Macaca fascicularis: one gene and its partner. The protein of the gene in region 2 interacts with the protein of the main gene of each other region in a pairwise test. Links are inferred from orthologs where the notes say so. Each region holds a gene or a part of one and is shown on either strand. Other genes may lie near its edges.

Evidence for each region. The genes of interacting proteins can lie anywhere in the genome.
Region 1: the proteins of GRB2 (region 2) and NUTM2F interact in a two-hybrid assay, tested with the Homo sapiens proteins (2 studies listed by BioGRID). The two-hybrid records come from large-scale screens. The link is inferred for Macaca fascicularis from reciprocal best matches to the Homo sapiens genes GRB2 and NUTM2F.

What each region holds. Positions count from the first base shown.
Region 1 is NC_088389.1:124,458,616-124,464,247, forward strand, and holds part of NUTM2F (NUT family member 2F), read right to left. Parts: intron 5,490-5,632; coding exon 5,332-5,489; intron 3,852-5,331; coding exon 3,155-3,851; intron 531-3,154; coding exon 402-530; intron 1-401.
Region 2 is NC_088390.1:81,722,057-81,727,688, forward strand, and holds part of GRB2 (growth factor receptor-bound protein 2), read right to left. Parts: intron 3,409-5,632; coding exon 3,240-3,408; intron 2,137-3,239; coding exon 1,951-2,136; 3' UTR 1-1,950. UniProt on the Homo sapiens protein: Non-enzymatic adapter protein that plays a pivotal role in precisely regulated signaling cascades from cell surface receptors to cellular responses, including signaling transduction and gene expression.

The DNA of each region.
Region 1 (5,632 bases), on a different chromosome or scaffold from region 2:
AGGTCTCCTCTGACCCAACTCCCTGGCCAGGCTGGGATGGCAGAAAACCGACTTCTGGCCACTGTTGTGAGGAGCCTGCACCCCACTCTGTCTATAGTCACTAGCGCCCCTTCTCCCCATCCCCACAGCTGGAGGTGACCCCCTCTGGGCTGTGACGCTGGCTGCTCCTGCCATGACCTCCAGTGTCAAGGCAGGGGTTGGCCCCAGGCCAGGCAGGACAGAGACCCCAGAGCACTCTAGGTGGCAGGAGCAGCTTCCTGAAGGAGCCAGGGGCCCAGGGCGTCTTGTGTTTGTCCACACCCTCCTCATGCTCCACACTGAGAAGCCACCACGGCCACCAGGCCTCCGTCATTCAGTCTCACTCTGCCCCGTGGGCCCTGCCCCCAGGACCCCAGACTCACTTTTCCGCCATCTCGTAGAAGATCATCCGGTCAAAGTTGCTCGTGTGCTGCCATTCGTGCACAGCCCGCCACAGTCCCTCCTCCAGCGTCATGGTGGGCTTCCGCCGGGCCAGGGATCGGAGAACTGGGCTGTAAACCAGTGCAGTCAGCCCCAGTCTATAAGCCCACCCTTCATCCCGAGCCCACCTGGTCCCAACACCTGGCCCCTGTCCTCCCCATACCTGTCCTGCCATCTGTCCATGTCCTGTTCTCCCCCACGTGGGCTCCTCAGGCCCCAGGACACACCCCCAAGATCAAACATCAACACAAGCTACAGAGTGGCCTCTCCGACTGCCCCTCAAGTCCTCGGTGTTTGTCCACACCCTCCTCATGCTCCACACTGATGTTGAGAAGTGAGCTCAGTACTATGGGTGGAACATATGTGTCCCCAACATTCCCGTGCTGAAGCCCTGAGCGCCGGCGTGTCGGTATTTGGAGGCAATCATGGTTATAGCAGGTCATGAGCGTGGGTCCCAGTCATGGAATCCGAGCCCTGATAAGGGCAGGAGGAGATGCCAGGCCTTTTCCTCTCAGCCACAAGAGGACACAGCCGAGGCAGCTTTCTCCAGCCAGGAAAAGGGCCCTGACCAGACACCCAATCTGCTGTCACCTTGATCTGGGATTTCTGGCCTCTGGAACTGGGAAACGTGAATGTGTCTTGATAAAGCACCCAGTCTATGGGATTTGTTACAGCTGAGCCTGAGCTGACTGAGACAGCATGAGCCTGAGCTGACTGAGACAACGTGCACACAGAATGACCTGGGAGTGAGGGTTAAAGTGCAGGTTCCTGGGCCCCAGGACTGAGCATTTCACCAGCTTCCTGGGGACTCTGGAGTAAGGCAGCCCCTGGGGGTGTAGCCTCAGGGTCCTGGAGCATGAGAAGCAGGAGCACATGTCCAGAACCAAAGCAGAGCGGTGTCAAGCCCACTGCAAGCAGCCAGGTACAGCTTCCCACATTCCCACAGGAGCCATGGCAAAGGCCTGTGAGCCTGGGGCAGCTCCACTCCAAGAATCAGGGTCCCCAGTGCACCGGGACTCTGCTCCAAAGGGGAATGTGAGCAGTACCAGGGTGCGGGGCCAGCGAGATTGTTGGGGAGGAAGATGGGGCTGTGTTCTACCTACACCCCAGGCAGGGGACTTCCCAAGGGGAGCGGCCAGTGTGTTGCACGGTGGATGTGCTGCAAGCTCCCGTTTGCTCATCAGTGGGAAACACAGGGTCACAGAGGCGCCACAGGGTGGAGAGAGGCAGGGACTGGGAATGAAACCACAAACTCTCCCGGATGCTGACGTTGCTGCCTCACAGTCACCATAGTCCACAGCCCTGGGCTGCTGGGCTCGTGGTGTATTCAGAGCTATCACTGGAGCCTGTGGCTTTGGGGAGCACTCTCCTAGATGGCCTAGTCCTAATAATGATAGTAGTAGGGACAGTAATCATAATTGCTGTCATGTAATGTGTCATAGCATGTGCCAGGCACTATGCTATGCATGTCATATGTGAGCTCAAGTCATCTGTTCGCCATTCTCTGAACGAAGCATCATTGTCCTTTTTTCTAGGGAGGATTGAGGGTGAAGATGCAAATACCTGCCCAGCATCGACCCTAGTGCGGGGCCCAAGACCATCCCCGTGTGCAGACTCCACCACCGCGGTGTTCACTGGACCTCACTGGCAGAACTGCGGGCGTATGCCAGGTTCCCGCCGGGCCCTGCAACTCCTCCCCCCAGCCCCATGTGACGTGCCCCTGGCCATCGACACTCAATTTGAGGGAAGGCACTGGGGTGTACACTCAAAGACCTAACCCCAGGACGGGTGTGGTGGCTCACACTTGCAATCCCAGCACTTTGAGAGGCTGAGGCGGGTGGATCACGAGGTCAGGAGCTCAACACCAGCCTGGCCAACATAGTGAAACCCTGTCTCTACTAAAAAATACGAAAAATTAGCTGCGCATGGTGGAAGGCACTTGTAATCCCAGGTACTTGGGGGGCTGAAGGAGGAGAATCACTTGAACCCAGGAGGTGGAGGTTGTGGTGAGCCAAGATTGCACCATCGCACTCCAGCCCAGGTGACAGTGCGAGACTCCATCTCAAACAAACAAAAAGACCTAAACTCAAACCGTGGCGCACGTCGCACCAAGAACCCTCTCTGACCTGGGTCTTCCGTAAACATTGCTGTGAAAATTATTGAAAGTAAAAGCCGGGCGTGGTGGCTCATGCCTGTAATCCCAGCACTTTGGGAGGCCGAGGCGGGTGGATCACCAGGTTAGGAGATTGAGAGCATCCTGGCTAACACGGTGAAACCCCGTTTCTAGTAAAAATACGCAAAAATGAGCTGGCCGTGGTGGCACATGCCTGTAATCCCAACTATTCAGGAAGCTGAGGCAGCAGAATTGCTTGAACCCGGGAGGCGGAGGTTGTGGTTAGCCGAGGTCACGCCATTGCACTCCAGCCTGGGCTACAAGAGCGAAAGTCTGGCTCAAAAAAAAGTAAGGATTGGCTGGACTCACGGGATAGTGACGGGCAGTTGACATGAGGCCCTTGACAGTCTGTCCTGAGCCACAGCCAGATTAATGTTGCTGAAAATGTACCTTCCCATAGCACAACTGATCACCCTCACAATCGCCCTGCAAGCTCCCCTGAACAGCGTGACCTCCTGTCCATTCGGCAGCCTCTTTACGTGTGAGCTGCAGGACAAGCTCCAGTGCCCCGAGGACACTCACATGAGGAAGCAGGAAAGCGCTTCGGTGTCAGGACTCTGGGGAAGGTGCCTCCGGGCCAGGGGCTTGTAGCGCTGCCAGAGTCGGAAGTTCTCATAGACACTCTTGAGGTTACAGGAGTCATCCGGTGGGGCCTTGGCCTGGGAGGGAGGCAGGCTGCCCTCTCCATGAGCCCCTTCTGGCCATGGCCCAGTGTTCCCTGGGGGCACAATGGGAGGCATCTGGGCAGCCGGTGGTGGTGGTGGAATAGGAAGGCCCTGGGACCAGCCTCCCTCACAGGCCTGGGCGCTCCCAACCACTTGGGCAGATGTAATGGGCACCCCAGGAGCAGCTGCCAGGAGTAGGGGAGGTGGACACACGACACCTCCGCAGAGGGCGCCTGGAGCCTGCCAGACGAGGGGGTCCTGAGTTAGGACCAAGGTCTGTGCCTGAGGGGGCTTCACAGGCCCCACTTCTGTCCTCATCTGGACAAAGACATTGGAAGCCCCGGCCCCACTAGGGCCGCGGCCATCCTGTCCTGCCACCAGAAGTGTGCTGGGGAAGGCAGACAGCACCAGAGGGCCGCCTGGAGGAACCGCTGCCGTCACGAGGGGTGGCCCATGTGCTGGGCCAGGAGCGGGTGTGGCGAAGGGCAGAGCTGTGAACACAGACAGGGAGGCACCAGGGTTCACGGTCACGCCCGGTCCCAGCACTGGGTATGCTGTGGAGACAAAGGAAAGAGATGAATGAGCTGGGGTCTCCTGGTCCTCACTAGTCACTGGGGAATCAGAGGGGAGCCCCAACAGCTGAGGGCGTGTGACAGGGAAACTCTGCCGCTTGCAAGTGTCCCTGAGTGTGCATGAGATGCTCTGTTCCTCCACGAAAGGGTTGCTCCACTAGAGAGCCGGGCCCCGGTCACCAAGACTCCCTGACCCCTGTCTCCCAAGAAGGAACAGCCAAGCCTTCGCTGCCCGAGGGTCTCCCTCAGTGTCCCTGGCAGACCCCATCAGCATCACAGGCATCTCCCAAGCCATGGGTCAGGGATGAGTCTCTCAGCGGCTTGGTGGTCCTCAGCGTGCTCAGCAATAGGAGACAGGCCTACCCCAGGGCAGTGCTCGGCACTGAGAAGGCCGGCAGGAAGCCCGAAGCTTCCGAATATTATGGCCCTATCTCCTCTTCAGTCTTCCTTTTCCTGAAGCTCCTGTAAACTCCTTTCCTAGCTCAACACCACAAAAGAAAACCACTGGATAGGCCGGGCATGCTGGTTCATGCCTGCAATCCCAGCACTATGGGAAGTCGAGGTGGGCGGATCACCTGAGGTCAGGAGTTCAAGACCAGCCTGGCCAACATGGTGAAACCCCGTCTCTACTAAAATACAAAAATTAGCTGATGGCGCATGCCTGTAATCCCAGCTACTCAGGAGGCTGAAGCAGGAGAATTGCTTGAACCCAGGAGGCAGAGGCTGCAGTGAGCCAAGATCACGCTACTTCATTCCAGTCTGGGTGACAAAGCGAGACTCTGTCTCAAAAAAAAAAAAAAGAAAAAAGAAAACCACCGGATGGAAATCTCACCCAAGCCAGTGCCCTAGGAACCCCAAAGATAAACCATAACACATCATGCCCAGCATGCAAATGATTGTCCTGGCACCACCCACACAAGTGCCAAATGGGGGTCAGATTCCGGCCACCCGTTCCTCAGTGCTCAGTGGTCCCAGCTGCCACTCAAGAAGCTCTGTTCCCAGGGAGCATGTCTGAGAGGCAGTGGTGGAGTCCCCTGAGATACTGTCACCGCACAGCCAGCAACAGCTGCACACGATTAGAACTCAGCCAGCAACTGGTGAGCAGCAGGGCTATCAGGGGAGGTGCCCAGGGATTTTCACAGCTGCTGGTTATGTTACAATAGGTAGTGGGACAAGGAAGCATCTCTGATCCTTCTCCTTTGAGCTCCCAATAACTGAACATAGTGACCAACCAAGAACCAGGGGTTCCTGGCCCACGGGCCAGGTGAGGCAAAGTTGTCTGAAACTCATCCCTGCCCACTAGGACCCCATGCAGTCTCTAGTCAGGGGGAATAAGGGATACAGCACATGCACCTCATCATTCAGGACACATATCCTAACTTGAATAATAATAAGAGAACCATCTTCCTATTTGTGCGCTACTTTCCTTTCTCTACTGAAAAGGAAACCAGCCTTTCCAGACCCTTCCACTGAGAACCAGCAAGAATCCACACCTGCCCCCTGTTCATGAGGTAGTATACGTGGAATGGGGCAAATTCTTCATCTCCACAGTAACACAAAGTGCAGGGGACGGGCCATGAGCTAGCAGACAAGAGGAAGTGGGTCTGAAGACCTGAGCTTCTACAAAAGGGCAAACAATGCAGAACAACTCAGGAAGCCCAGGCCATGTGTTACCTGAACTTCCCCATCTGCCCCCACCCCTGTTGCATCAAAGCCAACAGCTACCTGAACTGATGGAGCAGCCAGCTCTGGGGAGGAGCTGA
Region 2 (5,632 bases):
TCGGAGGGAGACTCCCATCAGCCGCTTTGGGACCGAGAGGACCAACTGTCACCAACTCTCTGGAGAGAGGGAGGCAGCCTTGTTTTTGTCGTGGAAAGGGGAGTGGGTGGAGAAAAAGATTACAGGCACATCACTACAGGGGACCAGAAGTGGAGAGAAGACAGAGATCTCTGCCGAGGCCTTGGTCTTTCTTTCCAATCTTGCCTTCCCCAACTCTCCCTGCTTCCTGGGACCATCTGTAGGGGTGGGGAGCAGCAGTCAACACAGCCCACTGGCAAGGGAGGCACAAGCAGCACTCTGGCTTCCCAATGCTGCCCTCACGCTCATCTGGACAGGTCAGAGGACACAGGATGAAAGCCACAGCCCAATCTAAGAGCAAGACAGGTGAGAAGTGAGTACTCTCATTGTGCACTCCAGCATAGGAATAAGGTGAAACCTGCTACAACTGGAGGCTGCGTTCCCATGACTTCCTCCTTCGCTCTCCTTGTCTGGGGCTTGCTGGTTCCAGGGGTGCATATAGTGATGGGGTGGGGGCCACAACCCCTGAGACAGTGAGGACAGGCTTCCAACCCCCTGTAAGCCAGATCCAGTGGGATGTGGGAGAGCTGGGTGGTCACCTTCCCTCTTGCCCCGGTGGCCCGTCACACTCACACTGCAACCTGGACAAGCAGTTCCCTGAACCCCCAAGGGGCTCACACACCTTAAAGCTGGAGCTTAAAGCCTCCTGGCTTAGTACAAGCAGGAGAATGCTTCACCTTGTACTCCTGCTTGTCTCCCTTGCTCTACCCTGCCCCAAGGGAAAAATATTTACACAGAGTAGGAGACAAATTGGCTGAAAAGCTCTGGACTGTCTTTAACTTATTTTAAAACAAAACAAATTAAAAACAAAAACAAAAACAAAAAACACCACCACTCAGAAGCAACCCTCGAAATAAGGAAAAAGGCACTATGAAAAAACAACATGCTCGATAATCCCACTGGAAGGGCCAACAAAGTGGAAAGAGACAGGCTGTTGGGAGGGCTTTTTTTTTTTTTTTTTGAGATGGAGCCTCGCTCTGTCACCCAGGCTGGAGTACAATGGCATGGTCTCGGCTCACTGCAACCTCCACCTCCCAGGTTCAAGTGATTCTCCTGCCTCAGGCTCCCGAGTAGCTGGGATTACAGGCGCATGCCACCACACCCAGCTAATTTTTGTATTTTTAGTACAGACAGGGTTTTGCCATGTTGGCTAGGTTGGTCTCGAACTCCTGACTTTGTGATCCACCCACCTTGGCCTCCCAAAGTGCTGGGATTACAGGCGTGAGCCACCACGCTGCCCGGCCCAGGCAGGCTTTCTAGGGAAGCCATGGAGGCAGCGACATGCTTTCCTTCTACCCCACTCTACTGCCAACTTGGACAAAATACACTGGGGGTCTGGGCTGGAAGGCAGATTCCTACAAGCCCCCTCCTCTGGAGGAAGTTAAACAGCAAAGGTGTCGAGCTGCCCTGCCCGCTCCTTTTTGTGTGTATATACGAAGAACACAGAAAGAGTGGTTCTTCTTTCAGTCATTCCAACTAAAACAGACATTTTGCATAGAGAGAATACCAGCCCACTTGGTTTCTTGTCTTTTATTATTGGCGTCAGCTAGGACTATACGTGGCCTTAAACGTCATGCACTGATGGACAGAAGAGAAAAAAGGATGAAAAAAAGGGCAAAGGAGGGGAAAGAGGAGCAGCAGTGAAAATTTGTAATAAAAACTCTTCTTAATTTATAGGTAAGTTTTGGCATTTTTAAATCCAACACCCCCTCCCACCCCCTAAAGTTCCAACCAAAGTGAGAGGGTCACAGGGTGACCCGGCCAGGTGTTCTGCACTCCCTCACAGGCTGCTGTTAGTGGCAGCTTGTGGGTTTAATTCTTTTGTATGTGTTTTACATTTTTCACTTTCTTTAAATAATTGCTTCTTGATTCTTAGACGTTCCGGTTCACGGGGGTGACGTAATTGCGGGGAAACATGCCGGTCTGCCCGTGGCAAGCTCCTTTCCACCAGTTGGGGTCTGAGTTATCCATGACATGGATAAAATCTCCCCGGCGGAAGCCCAGCTCTCCATCCTCCTGAGGATCAAAGTCAAAGAGGGCCTGGACGTATGTCGGCTGCTGCAAAACAGGAGCAGGAAAAACCCATATTGCATTCCTGGTCTGTGGCCGGCCACCTCCGAGGCCAGACGGGTTCCAGGGGGAAACGAATGCGTGCCAAATTCTCCATGTTTTCTAAACTCACCTCCCATCTCCCAACCCCCCATTTATTCTTACCTCTTCTAAGTTTACAGGCCAAGCGGGTTTAGTGTGATCTTTCCCAGTGCTCAGAAAATGCTAGAGTATGTCTCCCAGAGGAGGGTGGCCAACTGTGCCATATTATCAAGTAGAGGGCAGGCAGTGCTTGGAGGGGAAAGTTCTTCAGAAACAGCCGTCTGTGTTTAGGCTGTGGGCCCAGAATCTGCAAATCCCTTCTACCACACCCTTAAGATATTAGAGCCTAAAATTCTGGAGCTCGCATAACATAAGGGACTCTAACTGTAACTTATGACCAGGGCTCGAGGGACAGGAACGGTGCCGACCTCACTCCCTCACAAGCATAGTTTTCCTCATAATTTGCCTCCAGGGACAGGATCTTTGGGTGGGTGTGTTAAAGACCATCTCCCTAGAGAGACTGGCAAGCTGGCTACACACTGCCTCTGGAAAAGCAAAAATCCTATATTTAAAACAACAAATCTTTCTTTTTCTTTTTCTTTTTTTTTTTGAGATGGAGTCTCCCTCTGTCACCCAGGTTGGAGTGCGGTGGTACAATCTCAGCTCACTGTGACCTCCACCTCCTGGGTTCAAGCGATTTTTCCATCTCAGCTTCCCAAGCGCAGGTGGGCGCCACCACATCTGGCTAATTTCTGTATTTTTAGTAGAGACAGGGTTTCACCATGTTGGCCAGGCTGGTCTCAAGCTCCTGACCTCAAGTGATCTGCCTGCCTCAGCCTCCCAAAGTGCTGGGATTACTGGCATGAGCTACTACGCTGGGCCAGAAACAAGAAATTTTTAGTGTGAATGGAAGGTAACGTGTTCAGTAACGAGCACAGAAGCCCCAGTGGCAATCCCTGAAGGGCGCCTGCATGTTGATTGAGGGTCACCTCCCCCTTCCCACAGGAATGCACACTGAGGAGCTATTCTTAATTTCTAAAATGATCCCATCTCACCCTGATGAGGCTTACCTGTGGCACCTGTTCTATGTCCCGCAGGAATATCTGCTGGTTTCTGGAGACAGATGTAGATCTGTGATAATCCACCAGCTCATTCAAAGAATTGAACTTCACCACCCAGAGGAAGTACTTGCCGGCTCCGTCTCGGAGCACCTTGAAGTGCTGCACATCGTTTCCAAACCTGGGAGGGACAGAGAGCACATGGACCGGCTAAAGGCTCTAACCTGGCAAATCGAAGGCTATCTGCCCATATAAGCGATATCCTGAGAGAACCACTGTCCCGGCAGCACTCCTCAGGGACTGCAGAGTAACAAGCTTCCTCACTGCGTGTCCCTGGAACAGACCCCTCCCTATGACTGATGGGCACCAGGACAACATGAAGAAACCAAACAGGGACAGGCCATCAGTCACTCTCATTCTGAAGATGTTTGTAAGATAAAGAGTCCAGGCTGGGCACGGTGGCTCACACCTGTAATCCCAACACTTTGGAGGCCAAGGCGGGCAGATCACTTGAGGTTGGGATTTCGAGACCAGCCTGATCAACATGGAGAAACCCCATCTCTACTAAAAATACAAAAGTAGCTGGGCGTGGTGGTGCATGCCTGTAATCCCGGCTACTCGGGACACCAAGGCAGGAGAATCACTTGAACCCAGGAGGCGGAGGTTGCAGTGAGCTGAGATTGCGCCACTGCACTCCAGCCTGGGTAACAAGAGTGAAACTCTGTCTCAAAAAAAAAGAAAAAAACAGTCCATGTGCCCTGAACCCTAACAAATAAAACAGCCTTACTTAAGACAAAGAAGTGTGACTTAACTTCCTTTGAATAAAAAAATAATTAAAATGTTATATGCAGGAAGAAGGTGAGGAGGGCTGGAAATACTTTCAACAATTCTCTCGTAACTGCGAATAGTTCCAAGTCATGTTTTCCATTCAGGAATTTTAGATCCACTCACGGGGAAAAGGTCTCTGAATGAAAGGACACACTGGCACAATAAAAGAGGCCCAGGCTTCGAAACCCAAAAGCTTCTCCATCACCAGATCACACCCTTTTACACTGGCTAGCAAAACCAGCAACAGTGTGGCTGGCTGGTACTAGCTCACAGGGTCTGTCACAGGATATTTGGCTAGAACACCAGCCCAGCGAGGGCGCTTCTGCCTGTCCTGTTCACCTGGCCAGGCGCTCAAAAAGGCATTCTCGGCCAGGCGCGGTGGCTCACGCCTGTAATCCCAGCACTTTGGGAGGCCGAGATGGGCGGATCACAAGGTCAGGAGATTGAGACCATCTTGGCTAACACGGTGAAACCCCATCTCTACTAAAAATACAAAAATTTAGCCAGGTGTGGTGGCATGTGCATGTGCCTGTAGTCCCAGCTACTCAGAAGGCTGAAGCAGGAGAATCGCTTGCACCCAGGAGGCAGAGCTTGCAGTGAGCTGAGATTGGGACACTGTACTCCAGCCTGGGTGACAAACGAGACTCCGTCTCAAAAAAAAAAAAAAGGCATTCTCCGAGAGTGCTTGTTCAATGAATGGAGTCCCTCCTCTCCTTCAGTCCTTTAGTCTTTCAGCTGACGGAAACTAAAGGCGTCAGAAAATCAATCCAGCAGGTGGCAGCACTGAGCTTCAAGGAAGCCAGTGAGCACAAGATGCCCCGCATTTGGAAAAAATACTGCTTTTACATGTAAGACAAAATGTGAAAGGTGAAAGCTTCATTAGCAAGGGTATATCCCACGGCACTTCTGGCCCCACAGAGGCCTACTTCCACCCATGCAACGCAGGTGGTTTCTAAAAAAGCCCAGGGCCCCAATAATGAGCGCATGCTAACTACTGTGTTTCAAATCACAGGCTCAAAACATCCTAAAACTAAGAAACATCTGAAGACTGTTGATTCTTGAACCTCTTTTGCAAAGGGGTGTGTGTGTTGTTAAAGAGAGTCATGACACCTGTTTTGCTTCTAAAACAATAAATGCATTAAATCCTTAAAAGATTCTACTTGAGAAAATGGAAGTTTGAGAGCTTCTGCTGAGCAAACAGGCAGCCTCCAGCCAAGCACGTGGCTGCCCCCGTGGTTTTGGCCACCACCCAGTGATTTATTGCTTGTTCCCCTCATTTTATATGGTTTCAGTTACATTTGGGTCAGCATAAAACTAAAGAAAGACAGGTGACAGTTTTTCTTTTCTTTTTTAAAGATGGAGTTTTGCTCTTTTACCCAGGCTGGAGTGCAGTGGTATGATCTTGGCTCACTGCAGCCTCGACCTCCGAGGCTCAAGCAATCCTCCCACCTCAGTCCCCAAAATAGCTGAGACTACAGGCAAGAGCCACCACGCCTGGCTAATTTTCGATTTTTGCAGAGATGGGGTTTTGCCATGTTGCTCAGGCTGGTAGCGAACTCCTGAGCTCAGGCAATCCA